Linked DNA regions of Pelodiscus sinensis. The protein of the gene in region 2 interacts with the protein of the main gene of each other region in a pairwise test. Links are inferred from orthologs where the notes say so. Each region holds a gene or a part of one and is shown on either strand. Other genes may lie near its edges. The genes, in order: COPZ2, COPG1 and COPZ1.

Evidence for each region.
Region 1: the proteins of COPG1 (region 2) and COPZ2 interact in a two-hybrid assay, tested with the Homo sapiens proteins (2 studies listed by BioGRID). The link is inferred for Pelodiscus sinensis from reciprocal best matches to the Homo sapiens genes COPG1 and COPZ2.
Region 3: the proteins of COPG1 (region 2) and COPZ1 interact in a two-hybrid assay, tested with the Homo sapiens proteins (2 studies listed by BioGRID). The link is inferred for Pelodiscus sinensis from reciprocal best matches to the Homo sapiens genes COPG1 and COPZ1.

Annotation. Positions count from the first base shown.
Region 1 is NC_134739.1:13,715,713-13,722,994, forward strand, and holds the start of COPZ2 (coatomer subunit zeta-2), read right to left. Parts: upstream 3,050-7,282; 5' UTR 3,007-3,049; coding exon 2,890-3,006; intron 1,067-2,889; coding exon 992-1,066; intron 1-991. UniProt on the Homo sapiens protein: The coatomer is a cytosolic protein complex that binds to dilysine motifs and reversibly associates with Golgi non-clathrin-coated vesicles, which further mediate biosynthetic protein transport from the ER, via the Golgi up to the trans Golgi network.
Region 2 is NC_134721.1:25,627,730-25,634,753, reverse strand, and holds the start of COPG1 (coatomer subunit gamma-1), read left to right. Parts: upstream 1-4,007; 5' UTR 4,008-4,158; coding exon 4,159-4,195; intron 4,196-7,024. UniProt on the Homo sapiens protein: The coatomer is a cytosolic protein complex that binds to dilysine motifs and reversibly associates with Golgi non-clathrin-coated vesicles, which further mediate biosynthetic protein transport from the ER, via the Golgi up to the trans Golgi network.
Region 3 is NC_134729.1:1,253,534-1,261,275, forward strand, and holds the start of COPZ1 (coatomer subunit zeta-1), read left to right. Parts: upstream 1-4,652; 5' UTR 4,653-4,674; coding exon 4,675-4,794; intron 4,795-7,742. Other genes in the region: protein mono-ADP-ribosyltransferase TIPARP-like, read right to left, coding at 915-1,086, 1,208-1,563, 2,558-2,803. UniProt on the Homo sapiens protein: The coatomer is a cytosolic protein complex that binds to dilysine motifs and reversibly associates with Golgi non-clathrin-coated vesicles, which further mediate biosynthetic protein transport from the ER, via the Golgi up to the trans Golgi network.

The DNA.
Region 1 (7,282 bases), on a different chromosome or scaffold from region 2:
TTGCAGGGTTAGCCCCCGGCGGGCTGTTAGTACTTTATTTACCTGTGCCTCCCAGGTACGGCCGCTTGTAGCTCCCATTGGCTGTGGATCGCCGCTCCCAGCCAATGGGAACTGTAGGAAGCGGTGTCTAGTTCCCCACCGCTTCCCACCGCTCTCATTGGCTGGGAACAGCAATCCGCAGCCAATGGGAGCTGTAGGAAATGGTGTCTAGGTCCCTGCCACTTCCTGCCGCTCTCATTGGCCGGGAACAGCGATCCGCAGCCAATGGGAGCTGTAGGAAGTGGTGTCTGGGTCCCCACCTCTCCCATTGGCTGGGAACAGCGATCCACAGCCAATGGGAGCTGTAGGAAGTGGTGTCTAGGTCCCCACCTCTCCCATTGGCTGGGAACAGCGATCTGCAGCCAATAAGAGCTGTAGGAAGTGGTGTCTGGGTCCCCGCCCGCTTCCCGCCGCTCCCATTGACCGGGAACAGCGATCTGCGGCCAACGGGAGCTGCAAGCGGCCGTACCTGCGGAGACGCAGGCTAACCCTGGCTGATTGCCCACCCCGGCCTCCGGGTCACACAGGCCCCACGCAGGACGTGTGTTCTGAGGTGAGTGGCTGATTTCCAGGTGCGGGAGATGAGTGTGGGAGCGTTGCACTCGTGGGCCCTCTCCTGCTGCTGGAGCTGCGCTCGGCCTGCTTCCCCGCGAGAGCTGTCACAGGGCTTCTGAGCGCGGCGGGAGGCCCGGAGAGGCGAAATGGCTTGCCCGAGCTCTCAGCAGTGCTGAGAATGGAGCCCAGAAGGCCGGACAGGTGCCCTCTGTGCTGGCCCATACGGCCCAGGAGGTGGCTTTGGCCCAGGTAGCTTTCTCCATCTCCTCAGCATGTGGGGTTGCGGCCAAGGAGACCTGCGCCTTGGCCGGTGGGGAAGGGCAGAGCCAAAGCCCGTCTCCTGGGGGGGCCAGAGGCCTGGGTTCAGTGTGTAGCTTCCAGGCCAGGTGGCGTTTACCTTGGCTAAGAGGCGCTGTCCATCGTTGTCCAAGATGAAAATGGCCTTGACCGTGTAGAGGGAAGGCTCCTGAAACTGACACAAGGGCAGCATGAAGCCAGCGGCCCGGTGGCGCCTCCAGAACCTGGGTGCCTCCCCTGCCCCGGGACGGGGTCGCCCCCCCCCAGTGACCTGAGGAGGCGGAAAGGGGGCTGCAGGGCTGTCTCCGCCCTCTGGAAGTGCCCAAAGAGCCCCTGGCCTGGTTCCAATCCACAGCCCTCCCCACGAAGCCAGAGGCCCCGATCCAGGCCCGATGCCCCGGCCCGAGAGCCAGAGGGGGGTGGGGGCCGCGGGCGCTCTGCGGAAGGGTCCGTCCAAGCCCAAGTTCTGTCATGCACTGACTGCTCCAGAGTCCGAGTCCAAGTGTACCACAGAACCTGAGCCGAGAGGACTGAGACAGGCCTCACCCCGGGACCGGAGGCTGAGAAAGGGACGGGGCTGGGACGGCTCAGAGGGGCCTGGCCCCAGACCCTCTGAGCTTTAGCCTGCCTGCCGAGAACAGCGGCTGCAGCAGGCTCCCCTCCAGCCCCCTGGCACTGCCCCCTCTCTTCCCCCCCACAGTTGCCCCCCTCTTCTGCCCCAGGGCTGTCCCCCTGCTCCCCGCTTCTGCCCCAGGCCTGCCCCCCTTTCCCTCTCTTCTCCCCCATGGCTGCCCCCTTCTCCTGCCCCATGGCTGTCCCCCTCTTCTGCCCCAGGGCTGTTCCCCTGCCCCCTCTTCTGTCCCAGGGCTGTCCCCCTGACCCCCTCTTCTCCCCCATGGCTGCCCCCATTCCCCTGCCTCCCTTTCCCCCCTCTTCTGTCCCAGGGCTGTCCCCCTGCCCTCCTCTTCTCCCCCATGGCTGCCCCCTTCCCCAGCCTCCCTTTCCCCCCTCTTCTGTCCCAGGGCTGTCCCCCTGCCCCCCTTTTCTCCCCCATGGCTGCCCCCTTCTCCTGCCCCCCTTTTCCCCCTCTTTTGCCCCAGGGCTGTCCCCCTGCCCCCCTCTTCTGTCCCAGGGCTGCCCCTTTCTCCTGCCCCCTTCCCCCCTCTTCTGCCCCAGGGCTGTCCCCCTGCCCCCCTCTTCTGTCCCAGGGTTGCCCCCTTCTCCTGTCCCCCTTTCCCCCCTCTTCTGCCCCAGGGCTGTCCCCCTGCCCCCCTCTTCTGTCCCAGGGCTGCCCCTTTCTCCTGCCCCCTTCCCCCCTCTTCTGCCCCAGGGCTGTCCCCCTGCCCCCCTCTTCTGTCCCAGGGTTGCCCCCTTCTCCTGTCCCCCTTTCCCCCCTCTTCTGCCCCAGGGCTGTCCCCCTGCCCCCCTCTTCTGTCCCAGGGCTGCCCCTTTCTCCTGCCCTCTTCCCCCCTCTTCTGCCCCAGGGCTGTCCCCCTGCCCCCCTCTTCTGTCCCAGGGCTGCCCCTTTCTCCTGCCCCCTTCCCCCCTCTTCTGCCCCAGGGCTGTCCCCCTGCCCCCCTTTTCTCCCCCATGGCTGCCCCCTTCTCCTGCCCCCCTTTTCCCCCTCTTTTGCCCCAGGGCTGTCCCCCTGCCCCCCTCTTCTGTCCAGGGCTGCCCCCTTCTCCTGCCCCCCTTTTCCCCCTCTTCTGCCCCAGGGCTGTACCCCTGCCCCCCTCTTCTGTCCCAGGGCTGCCCCCTTCTCCTGCCCCCCTTTTCCCCCTCTTCTGCCCCAGGGCTGTACCCCTGTCCCCCTTCTGGGCTCTGCTTCCTGGACTCGCCTTCTCTTCTCTCCTGCAGCCCCCGGGGTCCCCTCCCCGGCCCTGCGCCCCTGAACCCCGCCCCCCCACGGAGCTTCCAGCGCAGAAAGTTTTGCGCGGCCGGGAAGCTGGCGAGTTGGCGCCGCTGCGCGCAGCCCCCGGCCCCGCAGCCCGCCCGTACCAGCAGCCCCGTGGGGTCCATGGCTCCGGCGGCTGCAGCTGCCCGGTCCCCGCCGCCTCCGCCCCCCGGGGCAGCCCCCTCGGGCTGCTGACGTGGCCGGGCCTCGGCGCGCTGCATCCCGCGGCACGGAGCGCTCGGCCGGGCCGCTCCGCCCCGCGCCCCGCCCCGCCGCGCCCCCTGGGGCTGCGGTCCTGGGGGGCCGGGCTCCCCGCGCTGCTAGACCGGCCTGGGGGGAGCGCCCCCCCAGGGCCGCCTGCGCTAACGGGGGGAGCCAGTCGGGGTCCCCCCCGCCCAACAGGGGCCCCCGCCCGCAACAGCGGAGCCCCCCAACAGTCTTGCACTAAAGGGGGGGGCGGCTTGTAGCTAAAACCAGGCCCCTCCCCCACGCCCATAAGGGAGGGATCGGGGCGCTGCGCCCCCCAATACCTCGAGCTGCCTCCTCTGCAGTCAGGAAGCGGGGAGGGGGGGGGGGGATCAGTTCCTCAAGGGCTCCCCCTGCACAGATCTGGTCTCAAAGACCCCAGGGCAGCCTACAGCAATGTGGGGGGGAGCAGTGCCCCTCCTTTGCCCCCCCAATCTGGGGGGCTCTGGGGAGCCATGCAGTTCCCTACCTCGCAGGCGGAGGTGAGGGCCTAGCACATAGGTGTCATGGGGTGGGGGGGGGGGTGAGGGCGTCAGGTCACATGCACCCCTACCTGGGTCAAATGTCCCCCTAGATTTTAATTGCTGAAGCCGGGTGTCCCCACTTTGCCCCCCTCCCCGCAGGGCAGGGGGCTAGAGCCGGGCACGAGGCCCAGAGGTGTGTCTACCTGGCCCCCTCGCCACACCGCGTGGGGGAGCTCCGGGCTGACCCGTCCCTGGGGCATGCGGCTCAGACGCAGGCGGCCGGTCTCACCCATGGCTAGGTGGGTGCCATGGAAGCATCAGAACCGGGGGGAGGGGGGAGGCTGGGGCAGGAGGAGCTGACCTCAAGCGGCTCCCGCTCAGTGGTGCAGAGCGGGGCTAAGGCAGCTTCCTGCCTCTCCTGGCCCCGCAGATGCTGCTGCCCCCAGAGGCACCCGGCAGCGGGTTCCCAGCCCATGGGAGTGTGGAGCTAGTGCTAGGGGCAGGCACAGAGTGCAGAGCGTTGTGTGTTCCCCTCCCCACCTAGGAGCCAGGCCTGCTGCAGCCACTTCTGGGGCGCAGCCCAGTCTGTGGGGCCGGGCCAGGCAGATCGTCCTGGGCTGGGCTGACCCACGTGGTGCCAGGCGGGGGTGCGGGGTATGTCTAGGACCAGACCATGGTCCCAGCCGTTGCCCTTCACTGGTCACCCCTGTGAACATCTAACCCAAGTCTCCCTGGCTGCAAATTAAATGGCTCCTTCCGTGTCCCGTCCTCAGTGGGCAAGAGGAGCAGCTGGACACTCTGTGTAGTGCCCAGGCCTGTGGGACGAGTCACCTGCCGCAATGACCTCCGGTCCCCCCCACGGCTCCTCAGGGAAAACTGAGCCAAGAGCCTCTGGACTCAGCACCCAAAGCCACCCCCTGGCAGCAACAGCAGACGCTTCTCATGTGCAGACCTCTGCACCAATAGCTTCTACTGGCCCCGTTCGGAGTCAGCTGCAGCACAGAGACTTGCCTAAGGCCACCGGAAGAATCAGTGGCGGAGCAAGGGTTAGCGGTTTCGCCTCCCAGTTCCCCTCGTGCCAGCCGTTAAGCCCTGGAACGCTGGCATTGGCATTTATTGGGCCAACTTCAGCTCTATGGAAGTCAATGCTCCTGGGCAGGCTTACGCCCGGTCTGAATCCGGCTCCCCTGTCTTTGGAGCTGTGCTGGTCAAACACAGAGCAGCCCTTCCATTGGCGTGAGGCCTCCTGGCCTCGCTAAAGTCACCGACGCGCGTGACTGGTGTGGGGGGGCCAGTCGTCCGGATCTGTTTGGACACGGACGGGAGAGGTGGTGGGGAACGCTCAAACCACGCTGCACTGTTGGGAGACTCCCCACGGGAAAGGTTGAAGGGCAGTGGAACGGTGTAACCGGTGTGTCTGTGAATTACGGCAGCCTCTGGGGCTGGTCTTCCTCACACCAGGAGCCTCACTGACCTGTGAGCTACCCAAAACCTTGCAGGAGAAACAGACGTAGCAAGGGTGTTATGCAACCCGGAGGCAAAAGCAAAATTTGTGTCCTCTCCTCCCCACCGCCAGTATGTGGCAGGGCCTCGAACCTAGCGCTCAGCTAAACCAGACCTTGGGAGGAGGAGCTTGTACAGCGTCTTTCCCCGCCCCCTCCAGTTTGGGGCTGGCCCCCCCACTAACCTGCCAGCGGAGATGGAGGAGGGGCGGGCATGAGGCTCCAGCTGGTGGCATTGGGCGGAGGAGGAGCAGGCGAGCCGAGGGGGACTAAACTGGCACCCTCCTAGCATGGTGCCCAGGGGCAACTGCCCCCCTACCTTCCCCCCTTGCTACACCCCTGGGGAGAAAAGGTTCTTAAAGCCCCCCCCGAGCTGCTGCCTTTGTGCTGCGTTTCACAGCCGGGCCTTAAGTCGGCTTTTGGTGCTGTCTGCATGGCAGGAAGCTGAAGGGAGAACGCTCTTCCTTCCACTTCCCTTACTCCTCGTGAAATGAGAGTTACAGAAGTCGGAGCAAGAAGCTCGTTATTTTGAAATTATTTCAAAATAACAGGCTTGCTGGATTGATGTGCAGCCCACACTGGGTGTGGGTCACTGGCCCATGGAGAGGCACCTAGGCCACTTACAGAGGGTACGTCTACACTACAGCGCTAGTTCGAACTAACTTAGTTCGAATTAGTTAATTCGAACTAAGCTAGTTCGAACTAACGCATCTAGAACTAAAAACTAGTTCGAACTAGCGTTTTGCTAGTTCGAACTAGTAAGTCCACATTGAGTGGACTCTGAACAGGGCTTAAGGATGGCCGGAAGCAGTGCCGGCAGGGCATAAAAGGAGGACTTAGAGCATGGAGATACTGTCTCAGGCTAGCCGAGGGCTGCGCTTAAAGGGTCCCGACCCCCACCCCGGACACACAGTTCTAAGGGGTGCCCCGCTTGCAAAGAAGTTCTGGCTTGGAGTGCCCTGAGTGCCCACACTGGGCACATCACACCACTCGGCCATCAGCCCGGCTGCACTTGCCGCAGGCTGCCATCTGGGGAGAGGGAGTAATTGGGGGGCTGCAGGAGAGCTTCCACCCCCAGAAGCCCGCAGAGCCAGCCCAGTCCTCCCCATCGGGGGCTCGTACCCCATTCCTCCCTCACCTCCTTCCACTTGCCCTTCCCTAGCCCCCCTTCTTCTTGATGTACAAAATAAAGATAACGTTTCTTCCAACATTGACTCTGTCTTTATTGAAAAAAACTGGGGGAGACTGGGAAAAGGAGGTGGGAGAGGGGAAGAGAAAGGCTGGGAGAGGGGAGGGCAACTAACATGATCAGGGGTTGGGAACAGGTCCCAGATGAAGAGAGGCTACAGAGACTGGGACTGTTCAGCTTAGAAAAGAGGAGACGGAGGGGGGACAGGATAGAGGTCTCTAAAAGCAGGGGTTGGGTGGAGAGGGTGCATTCAGAAAAGTTCTTCCTGAGTTCCCATAAAGAAGGACTAGAGGACACCAAAGGAAAGGAATGGGTAGCAGGCTTGAAACTAGTAAGAGAAAGTTGTTCTTGACAAAGCAAATAGTTAACCTGTGGAACTCCTTGCTGCAGGAGGCTGTGAAGGCTAGAACTAGAACAGAGTTTAAAGGGAAGTGAGATCAAGTCATGGAGGTTGGGTCCATGGAGTCCTATTAGCCAGAGGGTAGGAGTGGTGTCCCTGCCCAAAGTTTGTGGAAGGCTGGAGAGGGATGGCACGAGACAAATGGCTTGGTCATTGTCTTCGGTCCATCCCCTCCAGGGTCCCTAGGGTTGGCCGCTGTTGGCAGACAGGCTACTGGGCTAGATGGACCTTTGGTCTGACCCAGTACGGCCATTGTAAGCTCAGGGCTCAGTGTCGGGGGTCTCAGTGGACCCCCTTGATTTTCATGCACACCTGGTCCTGGGTGGCCAGGCTGGCAGCTCTCCTGCCCTAGACGGCCACTTTCCTGTGCCTAGTGCGGAGATCGTGGACGAGGTCCACGATGTCCGCACTAGCCCAGGAAGGTGCCCGCCTCTTGCGGTCCAGGGCAAGCTCCCGGGAGCCGCCAGCCTGGTCCCGGCAAGAGGGGGTGGGCTGGGGGACATCGGGTGGGTGGCTCTGTGCCGTGCCAGGTGCAGGGTCTGCTAGCTGGGTGCTGGCAGGCTTGCACCTGGCACGGGCACCGTAGCCAGCCCGTGCCCCTTTAAGGGGTCCGGGGCCGGGAGGGGGGCATAGAGTTTCCCTGGTGTTGGCCAGAGTGGCCACCAGGGAAACCTGGGGAGGGCTAGCCTCCCACTA
Region 2 (7,024 bases):
TGGTTAACCATTTAATATCACTAGTGAGAAACATTTATTTTTCCTCATTTAAACCTTGATTGGGAATGCAAACTTTATTCAGAGAGGAACTGTTATTTCCTGAAATGATGCCTTTAAATCCAACTGTGTGTCATCAACAGCTGGAATAACAGAACAGAGTATAAAAACAACAAATGGTCTGGTAGCACTTTATAGACTAACAAAACATGTAGACGGTATCATGAGAATCTACATATTTTGTTAAGTCTATAAAGTGCTACCAGACCATTTGTTGTTTTTTTCTGTAACAGACTAACTCGGTTACTCCCTGAAGCTTCAGAACAGAGTATGATTGTAAAGAGTACTCAGGGTGTCTCACTGGCCCTTACAGAAAGAAAATAGGAACTGGGCACAATAGGACTGCAGAAATGACCCCAAAAGCCACTCTGACCTCAGTGATAGCTCACATGTGGCAACAGACAACACACAGTGTATTACTGCAGAAAAGAACATGAACCAAGGCCCCTTCATTAATCACATTGGATTTTCTTTAATACATTCTCCAATAGTCCCCTGTAGATATGGCAGAAAGGATTAGATTTAACATTTCACAAAAGCTGTAGGTTCAATATACACCTTAAAGGTGTCTCACATCTTTCACCATAGGCTGGAAATATCATCCACTTTGAGCCTTGCTGCCTAATTCTACAGGGGTCTGGTGGAGCAGACCACTGTGCAGAAGGGATGCCGTGGCCTGACCTCATCTAGTGTGTGTTGCCAGATCCCACATCTAAAAGAAGTTATTCTCCCTTTAATTACAGCACTGAGCTTCAGCAGAAAACAGTGTTCCTGTGGCCCAAACCGGCCGCATGGAGAAACAGGAGATTAACACACACAACACTTGAAATAACCTATGTCCAGAGAAATGTTAACTTCATGGGTTATCGTTCCACAGGCTGTGTCCTTCCCCAGTCACCACCCTGCCCCCAGTCACTTCCCTACAAGCTGTGCTCCCCCAGGCACTGCTCCCCCGCCAGTCACTGCCCTACAAGCTGTGCCCCCAAGTCACTACCCTGTCCCCGGTCACTCCCCTACAAGCTGTGCCCCCAAGTCACTGCCCTGCCCCCGGTCACTTCCCTACAAGCTGTGCCCCCAAGTCACTGCCCTGCCCCCGGTCACTTCCCTACAAGCTGTGCCCCCAAGTCACTGCCCTGCCCCCAGTCACTTCCCTACAAAATGTGTCCCCAAGTCACTGCCCTGCCCCCAGTCACTGCCCTACAAGCTGTGCCCCCAAGTCACTGCCCGACAAGCTGTGCCCCAAGTCACTGCCCGACAAGCTGTGCCCCCAAGTCACTGCCTTGCCCCCAAGTCACTGCCCTACAAGCTGTGCCCCAAGTCACTACCCTGCCCCCAGTCACTGCCCTACAAGCTGTGCCCCCAAGTCACTGCCCTGCCCCCAGTCACTTCCCTACAAGCTGTGCCCCCAAGTCACTGCCCTGCCCCCAGTCGCTGCCCTACAAGCTGTGCCCCCAAGTCACTGCCCTACCCCCAGTCGCTGCCCTACAAGCTGTGCCCCCAAGTCACTGCCCTGCCCCCAGTCGCTGCCCTACAAGCTGTGCCCCCAAGTCACTGCCCTGCCCCCAGTCACTGCCCTACAAGCTGTGCCCCCAGTCACTGCCCTGCCCCCAGTCACTGCCCTACAAGCTGTGCCCCCAAGTCACTACCCTGCCCCCAGTCACTGCCCTACAAGCTGTGCCCCCAAGTCACTACCCTGCCCCGTCACTGCCCTACAAGCTGTGCCCCCAAGTCACTGCCCTGCCCCCAGTCGCTGCCCTACAAGCTGTGCCCCCAAGTCACTACCCTGCCCCGTCACTGCCCTACAAGCTGTGCCCCCAAGTCACTGCCCTGCCCCCAGTCACTTCCCTACAAGCTGTGCCCCCAAGTCACTGCCCTGCCCCCAGTCGCTTCCCTACAAGCTGTGCCCCCAAGTCACTACCCTGCCCTCAGTCGCTTCCCTACAAGCTGTGCCCCCAAGTCACTGCCCTGCCCCCAGTCGCTGCCCTACAAGCTGTGGCCCCAAGTCACTACCCTGCCCCCAGTCGCTGCCCTACAAGCTGTGCCCCAAGTCACTACCCTGCCCCCAGTCGCTGCCCTACAAGCTGTGCCCCCAAGTCACTGCCCTGCCCCCAGTCGCTGCCCTACAAGCTGGGCCCCCAAGTCACTGCCCTGCCCCTAGTCGCTTCCCTACAAGCTGTGCCCCCAAGTCACTGCCCTGCCCCCAGTCGCTGCCCTACAAGCTGTGCCCCCAAGTCACTGCCCTGCCCCCAGTCGCTGCCCTACAAGCTGTGCCCCCAAGTCACTGCCCTGCCCCCAGTCACTGCCCTACAAGCTGTGCCCCCAGTCACTGCCCTACAAGCTGTGCCCCCAAGTCACTGCCCTGCCCCCAGTCACTGCCCTACAAGCTGTGCCCCAAGTCACTGCCCTACAAGCTGTGCCCCCAGTCGCTGCCCTACAAGCTGTGCCCCAAGTCACTGCCCTGCCCCCAGTCACTGCCCTACAAGCTGTGCCCCAAGTCACTGCCCTGCCCCCAGTCGCTGCCCTACAAGCTGTGCCCCAAGTCACTGCCCTGCCCCCAGTCGCTTCCCTACAAGCTGTGCCCCAAGTCACTGCCCTGCCCCCAGTCGCTTCCCTACAAGCTGTGCCCCCAAGTCACTGCCCTGCCCCCAGTCACTGCCCTACAAGCTGTGCCCCCAGTCACTGCCCTACAAGCTGTGCCCCCAAGTCACTGCCCTGCCCCCAGTCACTGCCCTACAAGCTGTGCCCCAAGTCACTGCCCTGCCCCCAGTCGCTGCCCTACAAGCTGTGCCCCCAAGTCACTGCCCTGCCCCCAGTCGCTTCCCTACAAGCTGTGCCCCCAAGTCACTGCCCTGCCCCCAGTCGCTGCCCTACAAGCTGTGCCCCCAAGTCACTGCCCTGCCCCCAGTCGCTGCCCTACAAGCTGTGCCCCCAAGTCACTGCCCTGCCCCCAGTCCCTGCCCTACAAGCTGTGCCCCCAAGTCACTGCCCTGCCCCCAGTCGCTGCCCTACAAGCTGTGCCCCCAAGTCACTGCCCTGCCCCCAGTCGCTGCCCTACAAGCTGTGCCCCCAAGTCACTGCCCTGCCCCCAGTCGCTGCCCTACAAGCTGTGCCCCCAAGTCACTGCCCTGCCCCGTCACTGCCCTACAAGCTGTGCCCCAAGTCACTGCCCTGCCCCCAGTCGCTGCCCTACAAGCTGTGCCCCCAAGTCACTGCCCTGCCCCCAGTCGCTGCCCTACAAGCTGTGCCCCCAAGTCACTGCCCTGCCCCCAGTCGCTGCCCTACAAGCTGTGCCCCCAAGTCACTGCCCTGCCCCCAGTCGCTGCCCTACAAGCTGTGCCCCCAAGTCACTGCTCTGCCCCCAGTCGCTGCCCTACAAGCTGTGCCCCCAAGTCACTGCCCTGCCCCCAGTCGCTGCCCTACAAGCTGTGCCCCCAAGTCACTGCCCTGCCCCCAGTCGCTGCCCTACAAGCTGTGCCCCCAGTCACTGCCCTGCCCCCAGTCGCTGCCCTACAAGCTGTGCCCCCAGTCACTGCCCTGCCCCCAGTCGCTGCCCTACAAGCTGTGCCCCCAGTCACTGCCCTGCCCCCAGTCGCTGCCCTACAAGCTGTGCCCCCAGTCACTGCCCTGCCCCCAGTCGCTGCCCTACAAGCTGTGCCCCCAAGTCACTGCCCTGCCCCCAGTCGCTGCCCTACAAGCTGTGCCCCAAAATCACTGCCCTGCCCCGTCACTTCCCTACAAGCTGTGCCCCCAAGTCACTGCCCTGCCCCCAGTCGCTGCGCCGCAGGCTCTTCAGCCCCTCAGACACTCCCGTCTCCCCCATCCACTGTCCCACAGGCTCGGGGCCTCCCACGGCCACTGCCCCGCCCAGCGCTGTCGCCTCCTCCCCTGGGGCGGGCGGTGGTCCAGGCAGCCACGTCAGCCCGACCAACCTCCCTCACGCAACGCGCGTGCGCGGCGCTGTCCGGCTGAGCTGTCCCGGTGACAGGCTGGCAGGAAGCAGCGCCAAGGCCGGAAGTGGAGGTGCTGGATAGAGACCCCCCCCCGGCTCGTGCGGCCCCCGCCCTCCAGGCCCCGCGCGCCCCCCGCCCGGCGCAGGGCAGGATGCTGAAGAAGTTCGATAAGAAGGATGAGGAGGCGGGTGAGTGTGGGACGGGCCCGCCGCGGGGGGGCGGGGCGGCCGTGCCCAGCGGGGTAGAGGACCCCCCCCCCCCCCCGGCCGGGCTCTCCTTCCGAACGCGCCGCGGCTCCGGGGCTGGGCTCTGCTGGTCAGCGTCCGTCCAGCCCCTTGCCACGGGTGTCGGCCCCTTCCCGGGCTGCCCCCCAGCTAGTGACTTTTCCAGGCGGCCCCCTTAACTCTGCCCACAGCCTTCCTCAGTGGCTCTGGCGGAGCCTGCGAGCGTTGCAGACCCCCCCTCCCCCGCCCCCGCCCCAGGAAACTTTGGAGTTGGGTGGATGTTGAGCCAGCTCAGCCCTGGGAGGGCTCCGCTTTAGGGCATTGATAGCACAGGAACAACCCGCCAAATAATCCTTCATTTTCTGCCCGGATCACCTCAACTTGCTTTCCGTTGATTTATCCCCCCCCTCCCCCCCGCTGCACTGCACTGCACTGCACTGATGTCTCAAAGCGAGATGTACAATGAAGGGCAGGTGATTAAGGAGGATGCACCTGAAATGACATAGATCTCCAGCCAAACCCTAACTACTCTGTCCCCTCATGCTCTGCCTCCTCTTCCCTTCCTCCCCATGTCTTGACTCGTTGTCCCCCCCAAACTGGTCACCGGCCCATCCAGCATATGTGTGGACAGCTTTAAAAATATATGGCTGATGTATCAGATGTACCAATTGCAAGTTTATAGAGTAACCTCTGATCCTTTTAGTGGCAGCTTACATTTTGGGGTGGGTGTGTGTGTGTGTGTGTGTGTGTGTGTAGCTTACATTTTGGGGTGTGTGTGTGTGTGTGTGTGTGTGTGTGTAGCTTACATTTTGGGGTGTGTGTGTGTGTGTGTAGCTTACATTTTGGGGTGTGTGTGTGTGTGCAGCTTACATTTTGGGGTGTGTGTGTGTGTGTGTGTGTGTGTGTGCGTAGATTGCTGTTCAAGATGTTTGATGTCGATGTGAAGCAGGAGACAAGTGTTTCTCCTGGTGAAAATATTGGTGTCCTGATCTTTGCAGGAGAGTAGCACTGATACAAAAGTAGGGGTTGGGACTCAGGAGGCATGGAGATGAACACAGTATAAAAAGAAAAGTGGGGATTGGATAAGTATTGCGGAAATTATTATTGGACACACTTGATCCATGTCCTTTACACAGTATTTGAGTGCCACACAGCATTGGAGGATGGACCACAGAATTTGGAAATGGAGAAACTCAATTCAGCTCTCATGGCAGTTCAGGATGGTGAAGTAGTTCAGGGAGCTGTGCCACCTGCACTTGACACAGTAACCCTAGCTGTTCTGTATATTAATACAGGACTTACAGTAAGAAACTGACTATTTAACATGTATGTGATAGGTTATATCAGCGAGGTCCCCTCGGGACTGTCACCTGATATGCTGATCATGCCACTTAGCCTGCCAATCTGTCTTCTGGGGCTCTCCACCATCGTGCCCTGCTGGGCCAAAGCTCTCCCCCAGCCCAGGCGCAGAGTTGGGGCCATAGCTCCCTAGCAGAGCAACAAAGATGTTGAACCAGCTCAGCCCTGGGAGGACTCAGCTTTAGGGCTTTGATAGCACAGGAACATAGCCACAAAGAGGACCAAAACCCTGGGTCCCTTCTCCTGGTTTTAGCTTTTAAATGGATTAAGAGCCATCAAGCTCTCTTAATCCATTTAAAAGACTGGTGTGCAGCAAGGAGGGAGGGGGATCCTGCATGAGTCATGAATCAGCTGTCCTGGCTCATGCTGGGTCTCTCCTGCGCTTTAGCCTTTCCATTTAAAAGGCAGAGATGCAGTGGGGTTAGCTCCCGGGTGGGCTTCCTGCTTATCGACTAATTGACTCCCTGCTTGCAGATCCCGTTGCGGCTTCCTGCTTATTGACTAGTGGATGTTAAATTTAGTTTAATCAACTAATTGATGGATTTTCCATCACTACTTTGTTTTCAGGTTTCTTCCTGTGTGTCCTCTTAGCTTTTGAAATTGCCTCCCCAACCCTATCTGATGACAAAAGACTGATTTTTTTTTTTGTATAAACTTCCCAGGGTGGGAACCCTTTGTTTTATTTTCCCACCCCAAGGAAAAATACCTTATTCAAGATGGATTCCAGCACCAGGTTTCTAGGACTTACCACAGTTTGGACTTAAACGTAAAAACATACTCATTTACAGATCATTGTCTTGAGTGCTGGGCCATTAAGTTTCTTTAAATACCATTAATGGTTTTCACTAGAAGACTTACATTAATAAAACAGGTTTACATTTCATATTTCTAACTTCACATACAAGAATGAAACATGCACTGAAATAGAAGATACACATTTAGCAGATTATAACTTTAAAAATGTTACATGATGCATTTTGCTGAAAATGCCTTTGAGTTATGCATATTCATATTCATAAACCAATTTTAATAAAACACGGGGAGCCTCGTGACCATGTATATGAGAAAAATTATCGTACGTGTCAAACCACGTGTTAAAAAGCAGCCTAGAAACTGACTTATAGACTCTCCAAGGCTGTGTCTACACTGCACCCCTTTTCCAGAAAAGAGATGCAGATTAGACAAGTCGGAATTGCAAATGCAGCGGGGGATTTAAATATCCCCCGCTTCATTTGTATAAACATGGCTGCTGCTTTTTTCCGGCTCGGGGCTTTGCCGGAGAAAAGCGCCAGTCTAGACGGGATCTTTTGGAAAATAAAGCCTTTTCCGAAAGGTCCCTTATTCCTCTTAAAATCAGGAATAAGGGACCTTTCGGAAAAGGCTTTATTTTCCGAAAGATCCCTGTCTAGACTGGCGCTTTTCTCAGGCAAAGCC
Region 3 (7,742 bases), on a different chromosome or scaffold from region 2:
ACTCCCCTGGCCACACTGACATCCGCTCCAGCCACACCACGCCCCCGGCCACGTATCCGCTCCAGCCCCCTGCTCCCCCGGCCACGTATCCGTTCCAGCCACGCTGCTCCCCCGGCCACGTATCCGCTCCAGCCACGCTGCTCCCCCGGCCACGTATTCGCTCCAGCCACGCTGCTCCCCCGGCCACGTATCTGCTCCAGCCCACTGCTCCCCCGGCCACGTATCTGCTCCAGCCCGCTGGTCCCCCAGGCATTCCACTCCCCTGGCCACGCTGACATCCGCTCCAGCCACACCACGCCCCCGGCCACGTATCCGCTCCAGCCCGCTGGTCCCCCGGCCACGCCACTCCCCCGGCCACGTATCTGCTCCAGCCCGCTGGTCCCCCGGCCACGCCACTCCCCCGGCCACGTATCCGCTCCAGCCCGCTGGTCCCCCGGCCACGTATCCGCTCCAGCCCACTGCTCCCCCGGCCACGTATCCGCTCCAGCCACGCTGCTCCCCCGGCCACGTATCCGCTCCAGCCCACTGCTCCCCCGGTCACGTATCCGCTCCAGCCACGCTGCTCCCCCGGCCACGTATCCGCTCCAGCCACGCTGCTCCCCCGGCCACGTATCCGCTCCAGCCCACTGCTCCCCCGGCCACGTATCCGCTCCAGCCCACTGCTCCCCCGGCCACGTATCCGCTCCAGCCCACTGCTCCCCCGGCCACGTATCCGCTCCAGCCACGCTGCTCCCCCGGCCACGTATCCGCTCCAGCCACGCTGCTCCCCGGGCCACACACCTGCTCCCTGCCTGCTGCTTTGTCCTGCTCCCCTCAGCCACACCCCCCCTCCAGCCACGCTGCTCTTCACACCAGACCACACAGGCCTTTCTTTTCTCCCCCGCCCCTCTCCTGGGATCCCCCCCTTCCCTCACCTCCTCGTACACGAGCCACTGGCCCCACTCCTCCCAGTACACCTGCCACTCCACGGGGAAGTAGGGGTTGCGGCTGGGGTCGCTGGTGTTGGAGAGGCGCCGGACGCGGTCGTAGAGCTGGTGGGGCGTCAGCTCCATGGAGTTGAGGTCGAGGGTCCAGGACGAGCCTGGCCTGGGGGGGAAGCAGGAGAGCTGTCACTGAGGGACACCCCCCCCCCCCACGCTGGCAGCGAGCATCTGGGCGACGCACCCACCTCTCCCGCCTGCCGGGCCACGTCCCCCCAGCCACCTACTTGTCCAGCAGCTGCACCTCGCGGTGGCTGGGGCTGCAGTAGAGCTTCTCCAGGAGCTGCTGGGCGGCGGGGCCCACGCTGAGCCACACCCCGTCCGCCTGGCGCCGCACCTGCCAGTGGAAGGGCTTGGGGGTGTGGTGGCGCAGGCAGCGGCCCCCCGCCGGGCACTGCCCCAGCAGGAAGTCATCGCAGATCAGGACGCCGTCTCGCTGGTGGACGTGGACCTCCTCCGGGCCGGCCAACTCCAGCACCTGCCCGCCCCGGCCCAGCCCCTGGGGCTCCGGCGCGAGCAGCAGGGGGTGCTGGGCCAAGCCGAGACGGCGGCGCTTGGGCTTCTCCGCCATCAGGGTCAGGCCCTAAGGGGGGGAGAATCAGGCCAGAGCTGGGGCCAGACTGGGTCTGGGGTTCAGCTTTCTGGGGGGCCACAGGCTGGCAGGGCGCTGGAAGGATCTGAAGGGGGATGCTACCCCCAAGGTCAGGGAACTGGTCCGGGGGGTGGGTCAGTGTTGGCCCCGACTCTGGAGCAGCTCACGCCTGATCATGGGAGGACTCCCCTAGGATTCCAGCACCGGGGGTAGGGGAATCACCCCCAATTTGCAGATGGGGAAATTGAGGCTCCGGGCCAAGGCAGGGGCTCGGCCAGCAGATCCGTGGTGGGGCTGGCAGAGGAACCCAGGTGTCCTGCGAGCCAGTCCCCTGGCCTGGCCTCCTGCCCCTCTTTCCCCCGTGCTCGGCTTATTATAGAGGGAAGCTGCCCCGATTCTCCAATCTGCAGTCCCCCCCAAAGCCGAGTCCCCCAGAGCCCCAGCGACTGGGACCACAGAGGTGAGGCCGGGGGCACAGAGCCAGCACTGCCCGGCTGCCAGGCTCCTGGGGCATTGACTCGGGGGGGGGCATGGGTCCCGGAGGCAGACAGACCGTCTCCTCCCCCACCCCTCCTCCCCATCACTCACCTCCTCTGCTGCCGGACAGGGCTCTTGCTTTTGCTTTTGCTTTGCTGAGTCACGGGTCCGCGGTGGAGAAGCCCAATCAGCCTGCCACCTGCGCAGGGCCCAGGGGCTGGGGTTTCCCCCGGCTCCCGGCCCTCCCCCCCCCCTCGCAGGGTTGCAGTGAGACCAGTCGGGGCCCGGCCCAACGCCCCACAACAGGGCAGGGCAGGCTGGGAATGGACGCCTTGCCCCCAGGAGCAGCCAGTGAGCCGGTGGTAAAGCAAGACAGAGAACCCCAGCTCCCCTCTAACTCCCTACACCCCAGCCCCTCCCCAGAGCCAGCAAGAGAAGCCAGGAGACCTGCCCCCCCCCCCCCACGTCCCGCCTCCCCATGGGCACCGCCAGGAAATACAAACACGACCTTGGCACAGCGTCTGCCTGGCCCAGCTCCACTTTCTCTTTCAGTTCCGCTCCCTGCACCACGCTGCCCGTGGCACACGGAGCCCAAGGGGGGGGCAGGACCAGCTGCACAGAGTGGCACCTCCTTGGGGGGATGTTGTGGGGAGTGGCCCTGCGGGGGGGGGGGTTGCTTTTGCTCTTCCCAGGGTGTAACCGGAGTGTGGCTTGGTCTCTCACTGCCCCCACCTGCTGCCGTCCAACCAGGCATAGGCCGGAGCCAGGCCTGAGACAGGATTCAGCGGATTTCCAGGAGGGGTGAGAGGTCTCTCAGTGCACAGGGCATCTCCAGTTCATCCCTGGCCTCTGCTCTATGCACCCCCCGCCCATGTCACTGCCGCCCCAGACCAAACCCAGTCAGCCAGCTGAGCCACGCCTCGGCTGCACCAGCTAGCCCAGAGCTGGAGCAGTCCCAGGATGGCGTCCCACCGCACGGCTGCAGCCAGGGAAGAATCCTAGGAGGGGAAGGGACCTTGAGACGTCAAGTCCAGTCCCCCGCCCTCACGGCAGGACCCAGCACCGTCTAGATCATCCCTGGCAGGCGTCTGTCCACTCTGCTCTTAGATATCTCCAGGGAGGGAGATTCCACGACCTCCCCAGGCAACTGATTCCAGCGTTTCACCCCCCGGACAGGTGGGAAGATTTTCCTCATGTCCGACCTCAACCTCCCTGGCTGCAGAGCCTTATTTGTTAAGGAACAAAATAAAGTGCCGGTGACCATAATAATAAAAGAAATCCGTCTCCGGCACAGCGAGAAGATCCGCCCGGCTGCAGAGTCTAGCTTCCCCTCTGGGCCTTATTGCTCCTTCTGTGCACGGCTGCTCCGCCCAGCCCCCTTTCAGAGGGGTTCACCCCTGTAGCCAGGGAGCCAGACTGGATTTCCTCTGAGTCCCGAGGGGCAGCCTGGCCTGTCATACGCTTTCTGCCCCTCTCTGCCGGGTGCTCCACACAGCTCGGCTTCCTCTAGCAGAGCCCACCTCTTGTTACCTCCTTCTTTCCGAACCTCTTTCCAACTGCCTCCTCCCCAGCTGAGCCCCCGTCCCTCGGCTTCAGGAGCTGCCCTCTCGCTAGGGGCGGGGTCCCTCTCCCCAGGCAGCGTTGTCTGCTGCTGCATCACAGCTGCAGGGCCCAGCACTCCCCCTCTTGCTCCAAAGTGCAGCAGAAGCTGGAGCTGGGGCAAGTGTAACCCCCGGGAGGGGGGGGGGGATTTCACACTTTTCCCCTCGTGACCCAGTTTGGAAAAAATTGCGGATGCGCGTGACCCAACGTAGTGTGGCTGGGGCCGAGGTGGGGAGCTTTGTGGGGCAGGAGGGGACTCCACTCCCACGGGCCGGGAACCCGCTGCCGGCTGCGTCTGGGGCGCAGCCCGGTGTGAGGGGCCAGGCGGAGCAGGACGCTGCCTCAGCCCCCGGTGCACTGCAGACAGGCAGCAGGTTCCCGGCCGGCGGGAGTGCGGGGCGAGTGCTCGGGGCAGGGAGCCCCGTGTGCTCCCCCCACCCCAGGAGCCAGGCCAGGCCGGGGGCTGCCTTAGCCCCCCGCTCTCCGGACCCCTGCAGCCCGGGCGACGCTCCTCAGCCCAAGGCCCTGGGCCCTGCTGGGGGGTGTCGGGGCGCGGGTCAGGGGCCCCCCCCCATGCCTGGGCCATGTGCCCCCGTGGGGCTAGCGGGGAAACTGAGGCACGGGGTGGGGGGGGTGACATATGGAGGTCACATGGGTGCACACCCCCAGGGGGAGCCATTGGCCTGCGGGGGGGAGGGGAATGACTGGCCCCGCCCACCAGCATGACTCCTCCCCCTGCCCTCAGGGTCATGACCCCCATGAAGGCGGGTCGGGGCTGCTTCCGGTCATGTGACGTGCCGGCGAGGGGCCTGACGTCACCGCTTCGCTGGTCGCCGTGGGAACTAGCCCGCCCTCCCGGCGCTGCGGCGGGGGCGGAGCGAGTGACCGACAGGGGCGCCTTCCAATCGCCGAACACGCTCTCCGAGGGCGGTGGGGCGGGGCCCAGCGGGCCCCGCCCACTTATTGGAAGCCACTTTCTGGTTGGCTGGCCGGGATAGGGTCGCCAGCCAATGAGCAGTTAGAATGCGGAAGGGGGCGGGGCCCCGAGCTGCGATTGGCGGGCGAGTAACCAATGGCGCGCGGCCCCTGTCGCTCCGGCTCCACGTAGGCATCGCGGAGGGCAAGATGGAGGCGCTGATCCTGGTAGGAGCGGGCCGGGGGAGCGGGCGCCGCCGGGGGGGGCTGAAGGGGGAGGGGCACAGCCCCGGGGGGGGAGATTGGGGAGGGGTCGCTGCTGATGGGGGAGGGGCACAGCCCCGAGGGGGGGAGATGGGGGGAGGGGCACAGCCCTGGGGGGGGGAGATGGGGGGAGGGGTCGCTGCTGAAGGGGGAGGGGCACAGCCCCGGGGGGGGGGGAGATGGGGGGAGGGGTCGCTGCTGATGGGGGAGGGGCACAGCCCCGGGGGGGAGAGATGGGGGGAGGGGTCGCTGCTGATGGGGGAGGGGCACAGCCCCGGGGGGGGGGAGATGGGGGGAGGGGTCGCTGCTGATGGGGGAGGGGCACAGCCCCGGGGGGGGGGAGATGGGGGGAGGGGTCGCTGCTGATGGGGGAGGGGCACAGCCCCGGGGGGGGGGGAGATGGGGGGAGGGGTCGCTGCTGATGGGGGAGGGGCACAGCCCCGGGGGGGGGGGAGATGGAGGGAGGGGCAGGGCTGATGGGGGAGGGGCAGCTCTGTTAAACCCTTCAGGGCAGCTCTGGTCTGGGGAGGGATCCGTGGGGCTGGAGCCAGGGTTGGGGGATGAATCTAGGGGAGTGAAAACCTCTGTGGGCTTTGTGTGTCTGGGCCAGCAGCTGTTCGAGGGCCGGGAAGGTGAACCTGCCATGTCTTGGCGCAGAAACATCCCCGGCCTCAAGCTTTTATTACCTTGTACCCCAGAGCCCAGCCGTCCGGAGGGTTGTTCTGAAGGGTGAAGTCGTTCTGTGGGTACGATTCCTTCCCAGCCAAGTAGCCGGCTGGGTGATCCGGGAAGCCCTGCTACTTGCTTGCCCGTATTTTTTGTTGGCGAGTCAGGGCTCCTGGCTTCTGTTCCCAGCTCTGCCACTGGCCAGCTGCTGGACGTGACGTCCCTGCCTCAGTTTCCGCTGCTGTCGCCATCTTTCTTTGTAAAGCGGTCGGAGGCCTACTGAGGCTGCCGACACCTGGTCTAAAGTGCCCTTCTGTCTTGCTGCCCGCAGCTCCCTGCCTCTCTCCTTTGTCTGCAGACAGATTCCCTAGTCGCCTTTGCTGCTAATAATACTAAAGTCCGAGCCACAGTGCTTGGCTGCGTGCATCTCTCCTCTGGCCCCGTGCCCTAGTTCGGGTCCTGGCAGCGAGAACCGGCTGTGGCACAGCTACTGTTTGCGTGCTGGACGGCCGAGCGCCCGCTTGCATTGGCTGAAGTCTCATTTATTGACACGTTTGAATGACACCGTCAGCCCCGTGTGTGCCCCAACGCGGGGCGTCTTGTTGGCTTGACACGGCCCTCGGCCCAAACCAAAAGCCTCCAGAGAGACCAGGCCGCAGCGTCCCGCCCGCCGGGCCCTCTGCCCCAGAAGCGCGTGTTACAGCTTTAAAACGTGGGTTGCTTCGCTGTGCTCCGCAGTGCAGCCTGGCTCCGGAGCCGTGTAAAATCCTCTGGCTTTCTCTGCCGGGCTTGCGTCTCCTTTCCGCGCAGAGGGGCTGGGAGGGGGAGAGGCAGCGCTTTTCCCTCTAGCTTGCCAGGCTACTGAGAGTTACAAGCCAGGTGCCAAAGAAGCTTGTGGCTTTTCAAGCTGCTTCCTTTGGATTGTGTAGCCCTGCCCTCCGGGTCGGTCCCCTTCGCCGCCTCTAGAGAGGCTGGGTCCAGTTGAGGGTGAGCCGTCTGGGGGGCAGGGCTTGGAGGGGAACCTAGATCTGCAGGGCTGCCCATCCAGCTGAGCCCCGCCTTGGAGGGGAATCTCCGGACCGGGACGGGATGCAGTTACGGGCCGGCGTGGGCTTGAATAAAGCAAAGTGCGTCTGCAAATCCCATCCGGCCACGTTGATTCTGTGCGCTGGTTAGTGGAGGAAGGGCAGTTTAACCCCTCACGCGCTGGGGGGGATTAAGCGAATTCGGAGTAAGGCCCCCTTAGCCCGGAGCGAGAGCGTCCACACGCTGCGTTAATGGGATTGACTCCCCATGGTGACAAGCCCAGAAGAGTCACTGGTCACTTGCGGTGCTGTCCGGGGGGGCAGCGGGTGCCTGGTGCCTCTGAGCATTGGGCCTCAGGTTGTGCGCCCCCCAGTCAGACCCTTAGGGTGCCCCACAAAAGGAGGACCCTCCCCCCATGGCTTGGTTGCTCCTGGCAGGTTCAGCCCGTGGTTTGGATTCGGGGCTGGGGCTGAGCCCGGCTTTCTGACGGGGCCCTTCCTGAGGGCAGGGGCCGCAGGATCTGGCCCATTCCCTGCCGCCTCGGCCGTGCTTGGCTCCGGGGGGAGCCCCCTCCCGAGAAGCCAGGCTCCTGTCCTCTCCCCCTGCCCCTGGAGACACAAGGAGGAGCCACTCTGGGGAGGGGCCCTTGGGGTCGCAGAGACGGGGCCCTGCCATGCTGTGCCCCAGGGAAGCCAGTCGGGGGCCCGATCCTGGACTGTGCTGGGCACTGGCGGCCTCGATGGAGGGCAGAGGGCATCCCGGGCGATTGGCTGCATGTGGGGCAGGCCCTGGCAGCCTCCCCCAGGGGCCGGTTCTCCTTGGCAGAGTCTCAGCTGCAGGGGAGGTTACCGGGCCCCGCTGGGAAGTGCCTTGCCCGCCCCTGACCCACAGGCGGGTGGGTTCCTGCCCCGTGGCCTGGCCGGGGGCCTGGGGGGCCCGTGCCCCGATGCGGAGCCGCAGCGTTTGAGGTGAAGTTCTGTGTTACACTCCGGCCGTGGCTACGAGGGGTCAGTGCATCACAGAACTTTGTCTCGAGAGCTTCTTAGCGTCTGTCTCCTGGGCCCCCCACCCCCTCGCGTGCTCTGCAGCCCTCGCCGGGGGGGTCCTGGCCCACGGGGGCTCTGCCGCAGGCTGGCTGGGGCTTAGACAGCCTGATACGGCCACTGCAGCCCCCCGCAGCCCCTTCACCGTGACAGCTGGGGAGGCCCGGCCTGGCCCCA